2 linked regions of the Oryzias latipes genome follow. The protein of the gene in region 2 interacts with the protein of the main gene of each other region in a biochemical or structural test. Links are inferred from orthologs where the notes say so. Each region holds a gene or a part of one and is shown on either strand. Other genes may lie near its edges. The genes, in order: hematopoietic lineage cell-specific protein and caspase 3B.

Region 1 (3,155 bases), on a different chromosome or scaffold from region 2:
GGTCAGCATTCACTGATCATTGAACATTAAGGGGTCACTCCAGGCATCTTCTGATATGCAAGAGATTAACGCGATATAAAAAACACGCTAAAATGTCTATAACTAATTAATCGCGATTAACGTGAAAATTGGACTGCCCTAATCATGAATTTGCCGTTTTTTGCCAAAATAAAAAAAAACACCTGTGTCCATTTTTCGGACATAGTTTCTGCAGAGCGGCAGGAGTTCATTCGAAATTCACCTCTAAATTGTAGGTGGGACTGTTGCTGTGGAGTAGGCCTGCCCCCACTTCCCATAATCCATCGGTTTACACGCACTCATGCTAGCTCATTACACCCTCAACCTAACGTTATCGGTGCATCAAAATTGGCTATCCAGCCACCTTACAAGGTTCATCCAGATACCAGCTCTGAGGAGGAAAATAAAGACGGTCGCATAAAATGTGGTTATTAATGTGCATACGTCACAAATAAGCTGTATTTCAAACAGAATTGTTTTTCGTCTGCTCCTGATTCACAATAATCTGAATGAGGAAATATTTAGAAATGCCTTATTAAGCTTAATTTTCTTTATATATGTCCTCCATCGTCAGAAAAATGCTGCAAGAATATGTTAAAAATACCAAAAATAGCTATTCTCATTAATGAGTGTCTTCAAAGGACACTTTGAATTTTCTGTATTTGGTTTTGTAGTTCACTTCTCCAGGAAAGGTATGAAAGCACGTAACTCAAATCATGATCACACCTCTGCCATGCCAAACAGTGGCATAAATGTTTTTTCTTCATCCATTGTTCTTCCTTTTGTTTTAATTTAAATTAGGCTGAAGTGACACATTTTTAAAATCTCTCTGTACACATACGTGACTAGATCTTTTGCTAACATTTTATGCTGAATATTTTAGAAAAAGGCTGGATAAATAATGTAGTCATCAAACCATAAAGTTGTAATTGAGACAAAAGTAGGAACTTTGCTTTTGTTTACTCTAATCACTTTATTTCTGCTTGACTCTAGGATGCAACAGACTTCTTGAGCAAGGACTCCCCAAGTTCTGTTTATGAAAAGACCAAACCAGTTGAGGCGTGTGAGTCTGTCTCCTTAAAAGGCTGAACCGTCTATCTTACTGATTGATTGACATCCCTTTATTTTCAAGCTTCACATAAAAAAGTCATTTTACAATAAATTGCATGGAAAAAAAGTGGGTAGAAGAAAATCATATCAATTCTCCACCCAAAACTCTTCATAGATATTATGCATTCATTTCTACACATGAGAAATATAATCATTATTCACAAAATAAAAGCATCATAGTACCAAAACAATGTCACAATTGTCCACCCATTTTATTAGGCTCCTCATTTTCTAATTTATATTTTTCCAAGATTTTTAATTGCGTAACACTTTCACTCATTTTGATACTTTCCTCCGTGTTTCTCCACAACCTCACCCCACAGAAAGAAATGCATACGTTTTTGGGTTGTCCTCACAAGCTTATCATTTTTCATTTTTTGTGTAAATATTCTTCTTATCTTCCTTAAAACCTTTTTTATATATCCTGTTTTTCTTTTTTTTTTGGCTTTATATTAGAAATTATTAGCATTTTTATAATGGAGTACTTCTGTAGTGACAGTTGTCCTTTTTCTGCAGCAAGTGCAGGCGCGGGGAAGCTCAAGGCTCGCTTTGAGAGCCTGGCTAAAGTCTCAGAAGAGGAGAACAGGAGGAAAGTAGAAGAAGAAAGAGCAAGAAGGCAGGCCAGGGAAAGCCGAGAGCGAGAGGAGGTCAAACGCAAACAGGAGGTAACACCACATTTCACCAGGACTTGTTAAGCTGCTTTCTGTGCACCAAGGAGCCACTTCTGTGCCGTTTGCTTTTGGAGCAGCTCAAAGATGAGGAGGTAGAGCCCCCGCCTGTAGATAAGGCTCCAGAGTACAACGTGCCGCCAGTTGAAGCCTACTACCACACCCCAGAAAAGGAAGAAATGCCTACTCAAGAGGTGGAGGTGAGACTTGATGACAAATTCCACATGTAACAGACGTGATTAGAGAAGGATTTTCATTGGATTCAAAATTTACCTTAACTCTCTTGTTTCTACCTAAATACAAAATGTATTTTGCACATACAGTGAGTATTTATATGTTAAAGTAAACGTTGGTTCTGAAAAAAAATAAAAACAAATCATAGGAGTACTTGAAGGCACTAAAATCACAGACTTGGTTGTGTTTGCGGCCCTAAAATGGTCTGGCTAACTGTCCGGGGTATACCCTGCAATCACCCAGAAGTAGGATAGGCTCCAGCAATCCCATGACCTTGAACCGTCGAGTGTAAATGAGAACTGGACTAAGTGACCCCTCCCCTATTCCAAAAAGGAATAAAAGCCAAAATCCCATAGACTTAATAGAGAAATAACCATTCTTGCCCTTTTTTATGTTCTTGCTAATCCTGATTTTTTTTCATTATATTTTTCCTGTAGTTGAAGTTATTCAAGTTATAAACTGACCAATCAAATGCCTCAATAAAAGTAGTCAGTGCCTACTGGCCCCCCCACGTCCAATGTTGAAAACGTCTGTTTGAAAGATTTTGTGCAGCATGCTTTATATTGGTAGGGGCGTGGACTTACAATAAGATCACTCCTGATTGGCGAGGGTGGTTCCCATAGAACCGTAGGCTACAGCCCACTCGGACCAATCGCTACTTAGGTTATGGCGTCCGTATGGCGACCAAACTGTCTTCATTTCACAAGTCTTTTTCTATGAGTGATGTCACACTCGCTCGATCCAGCTCTCATTTACTGTCAATGCCCCGAACAGGAAGAAGGGGTTTAGTAGATGCATAAATGGACGAGTTCTGTTTGCAGGAAGAACAGGAATACGATGAGCCGCCAGCTTTGCCGCCACGCCCAGAGGATTTTGAAGAAGAGGCTCCGCCTCTGCCCGGAAGATCACTGGAAGAGGATGAAGGAGATTATGATGAAATTATTGAAGCTCCTCCTCTTCCTACAGTAACAGGTCAGACTCTGAAAACACCCCCCATGTTCAGCCATCCTGAAATATTTATAATTTTTGGGATAATGTAATGCTTTTAATCAGACATTATGAACCAGATTATGGTAACTACCGTATGTAAAAAAAATCAGTTAAATATAGTTAGGTAAAACATAA
Region 2 (4,380 bases):
GAGAATGCGTACAGGAAGTCAGCTTCCACTGGGATCTTGGTGGTGTCTTCTTTGGAATCTGCTTCAATGCCATCATCCAGTTCGGTGCCTCTGCAAGCCTTTCAGTGTCCACAAACCCAAACCAAACATTTTCACAGACTGATAGGAAAATGATGGTGGGCAACAAATGAGAGGCTTTGGTCGTACCTGGATGAAAAACAGTTTGGGCTTTCCCACCAGTGATTTGCAGTGATCCCCTCGGAACAGGGACGTCAGAGTTTTGAGTTCTATCGAACCATCCGTGCCGAAGAAAACGCCCTCGTCGCCATGACTCAAAAGGATGCAGACGAAAGAGGCGGAGTCACTGTGGTCCATCCTTGATACTAACAAAAATAAATCCAAAGCAATAAAATATACCAAAAGGATTATAAATATCTATATGAATAAGCACTGGAATGTTTAAAAGTAGCATTTTGAAGAGAGTGTGAATCATACTAACCATCAGTCAAAAGCTGTTTAATCTGTTTAACTGTCTGGTCATTGTAAATCTTCACTCTATAGCCCAACTTTGAAAACACTTTCATTGCAGAGGCTGCATCGATGTCTGTACCGTTTCGCTGATTCATACCTAACAGAACAAAATGGTGTAAAAAAAAAAGTCAGCAACAATTGGTTTAGTAACAAAACAAAAAAGAATTTGAACCGCACAAATTTCCTTAAAAAACCTTCAAACAGTGGTCGAATATGAGTGGTCTCATATTAGAGTGATTTAATATGTGCAAATTTATTTCCACAGCTCTTGTTGTGCATTAAAAGTCACTTTTTTGCCTTAATCAGACGCTCTTTTGTCACAACTAGGCTGTAACAAAACAAAAAAAAATATATGATTATGTTTTACAAAACTGTCTAACATCTTCCTGGACACTGAAAAGTTGAATACACAGAGCAAAGCTGAATCTCTTAATGTATGTTCTGGATAAATCATGCTTTTTAAATCACATTTAGGCTTAATATATGTTGTATATGTGCTACTGCAGGTCTGACTAGGTTCCTGCTGCATTTCAGATAAGTTATTTTAAGAACTGTAGTCCTGATAGATTATTTTTTGTTTAATATTTGTACATTCTATTTAACAAAGCAGAACATTATCCGTTTTTGACTGTTTATGAATTACTACACCATAGTTTTGTACAGTCTTATAAAACAGCTGAACCTAAACATTAAATCTAAAGCTTCATGCTCATCCTGGCAGGCCACAGAGAAAAATGAAACACTTAAGGTAGACAAGGTTCCATTATATTTCTGCTTTGCCTTAATTTCATTAGCAAATGTTACAAAGTAAAGGGGCCAAACCAATCAAAACCATCAAAATTTTAGAAGTGAGAGACTAATGTTTATCACTGACAGTGTATGTTTTTCCTCAACATCTGTGAAAATATATTTTCTTGGATAACTAAACTATTTCTGACAAGTCTTCAGTTTAGCCTGTAATAATAGGAGCTGGGATAACCACTTCAATATAGAATCATTTTCCATGCCAGAGTACAGGAAAATAGAAATAAAAACAGGGATCACCGGTTCCTCGATCAAAATTCTTGTTGTTAATGATGATGCAGAGGCCGATGGTGGGAAAGTTGAGGCTGTATCTAAAGCTGTGAGAGGAGGGCTTCCCATCGACGTCCATGCGATCAGGAGCAGGTGAAGCCCCTGCTGCCCTGCAACACAACATAACACAAAATCAACTTTACCTAAACGATATAAATCGAAACAGGAAACAATCAAAAGGACAAGTGGAGGGTTCAAAGCCACAAGAGACACGGTAGTTATTTTCAAATGTTACATTTAAAAACAGGCACTAATAGGCTTCAAAAAAATTATTTTTGTTTGAAGTGTCCTCTTCTACTGACTTACTGCACCATAAATTACAGACATATTAATAATAATAATAAAAAGAAAATCAACAAGAAAAGTCAGATAAAAATTCACTGATCTGTAGTTCTGGGAAGAATACCGCAAGAACAAAGTGTTTGTTTTAGGAGGTAACTGTCTCTTTTCTTCTGTCATGTTGCAGAGTACAGCAGAGCAGGATTCCTGCATGTTTCCCTACATATTTTGCTCTGTCATGCTTCAATTGGCTGGACACACCTGATCCAGGTGATCAGCCGTGAGTATCATGGCAATGCTATCTGGAAACCATGCAGACACCCCGGACACTTAAGGCCTGGAGTTCCCCAGCCCTAAAACAATCATGGCCTCGTTTTTTACCCCCAAAGATATCTCCATTTTCTGTTGAAGACACTCTCCTTTAAAAAAAAAAGCTCTTTTATTTTATTTTATCCATTTGTTGGTTTGTATTGTTCTTGTTTCACGCGGTGAAAAGTGCTATAGAGAGGCTAAAAACAAGCACACATGCATACAAATCATGTACTTCACCTCAATCATTTCCTGTATTTTCTAAAACATCTGCTGAATAAAATGGAAAAACAAAAACAAAATGCACCAAAGGCCTCTGTGTACACACTGACACTTTTCTCATTTGTTCGGCAAACAAACGTATAGTTTACGAGATAATTAAAAAAAAAAAAAGTTTACGAAATAATTTGTTCCCGGAAGTCCGAATACGTGAATGGGTTTCCAAGTTCACCGAGGTCCATAAATAAGAGGTGACAGAAACATTATTGACTCACAGTTCTCCATTGTCTTTCCTTGCGTCTGTAGAATCCTCTCCTGGTCGATTTGACGCCATATTTTCCTCTAAGTTAAGTTGAACGACTGTAATAAATTAAATGAACCGCCCTGTGTGTCGTGCAGTAGTAAACTAACACAGCGGTGTCCTTTACAAGACAACACTACGCTGCTCTCACAGCTTGTAGCATCAGCTAGCTAAGGAACCGACCTGGTTAATAAACAAAAGGGTTCTGACATGCGCAGACGCGCCATCAGCTCACGGGCGCCCCCTATTGGAACTATGCCCCAAAGACAATTAAATAAAGATTAGATTTTAAAACGAGTAAGAATTTGATATGTCTACAGTTTAGAATTTGCCCAAATGGAAAAGGTTCGATATTTACTTGCCAAAAACAAACTGATTCCAGGATACTATTTTCCAGGATAATATGCAGAGACAATACACCATAAAGTGTACTTAAACCTAAGCTTAAGAAAACATTTTTAAACACACTCATCTTACACATAAATAAATGATGGCACACACCCTTCTAGTTTTGTAAATAACTGTAGTTTTATTTACACAGTAAATACAAGGGCATTATCAACAAAACCAAATAATACTTTAACCCTCAACTACTGCTACCACACACAAACACAACACACAAGGTGATCTTTCTCCTCCAACAGTCTGTACTGATTAAATTACAAAGGCAAGGCCTCCCTTTAAAAATTAATAAACCATTTTAAATTGTAATTGGATAGTTTGTTGGGAAAATGAACACCACAAACAGGCTTGAGACAACCCAACCTGAAAGAAACAAGAAAAAAAAGTGAATGCTTGAAACGATAGTCAACTCTCCTAAAGATACCACTATTTCAGTTCCTAAAATTAAAAGGTTGATCACTTTTATTGCTCTAACTTTGAACAGAAAGTTACTGCATAATTCAAGGTGACATCTCTGCAAGTCCATAATATGTGAAAATGAATTAACTACCCACAAAAAAAGGAAAACATTCATTTTTGGGATCGCAAACGTAAAACCAGGAGCTATGACAAAAACAACATTTACAACATCTTAAAGTACACAACATCCGTATAGCACGGTGAAAATCTGTAAATGTTAGATTAAAAATGTCAATTCTAACTCTTGGGAATAAATTAAATACCGTTTAAAATGAAAAACTTTTTGCTGCACACAAAAGCAAAGGTTACATTAAACGAGGGAACTCAAATGCAACTGTTTTGGTGTTCTAGATTGATTTCTAGACCATCTTTTCACCATTTTATTAAGAATTTGCTTATTTCTTATAATTTTTAGTGACTTATTTGTACAAGTGCACTTGCATTTAGGACAAAAACGTTTTTGTCTGCTTTAAATTCCTGACATATTGCCAAACAAAATGTAGTTTTTACTGCTTTAGTGCTACCTTATCTCATTTAATCCACTTTGTATCACAGCTATAAATTGAGGCACATCTTAGTTAAAATCTACAAATGCAGCACATTACAGAAGAAGAATCACTCAACAGGTTTAATATCAATAACCTCAAAGGAAATCACCAAGCTGGTTTACAGGTATAAGTGGAACTCAGTTATTTAATCACTTTTTTTTAACAGTTGTTTTTCCATCAATTTGCATCAGAGTTTATCAGCAAGCATACCCCCCCTCAAGGTGTACAATAAATTCTGATACAAACACTATATAACAGTTGACTGTAGGAAGGCCTTCA

What was found.
Region 1: of the proteins of caspase 3B (region 2) and hematopoietic lineage cell-specific protein, one has a biochemical effect on the other in vitro, tested with the Homo sapiens proteins (2 studies listed by BioGRID). The link is inferred for Oryzias latipes from reciprocal best matches to the Homo sapiens genes CASP3 and HCLS1.

The regions. Positions count from the first base shown.
Region 1 is NC_019881.2:17,764,205-17,767,359, reverse strand, and holds part of hematopoietic lineage cell-specific protein, read left to right. Parts: coding exon 1-1; intron 2-1,011; coding exon 1,012-1,081; intron 1,082-1,644; coding exon 1,645-1,793; intron 1,794-1,876; coding exon 1,877-1,996; intron 1,997-2,851; coding exon 2,852-3,002; intron 3,003-3,155. UniProt on the Homo sapiens protein: Substrate of the antigen receptor-coupled tyrosine kinase. Plays a role in antigen receptor signaling for both clonal expansion and deletion in lymphoid cells. May also be involved in the regulation of gene expression.
Region 2 is NC_019859.2:19,919,036-19,923,415, forward strand, and holds the start of caspase 3B, read right to left. Parts: upstream 2,827-4,380; 5' UTR 2,726-2,826; coding exon 2,667-2,725; intron 1,695-2,666; coding exon 1,555-1,694; intron 608-1,554; coding exon 479-607; intron 363-478; coding exon 187-362; intron 99-186; coding exon 1-98. UniProt on the Homo sapiens protein: Thiol protease that acts as a major effector caspase involved in the execution phase of apoptosis. Following cleavage and activation by initiator caspases (CASP8, CASP9 and/or CASP10), mediates execution of apoptosis by catalyzing cleavage of many proteins.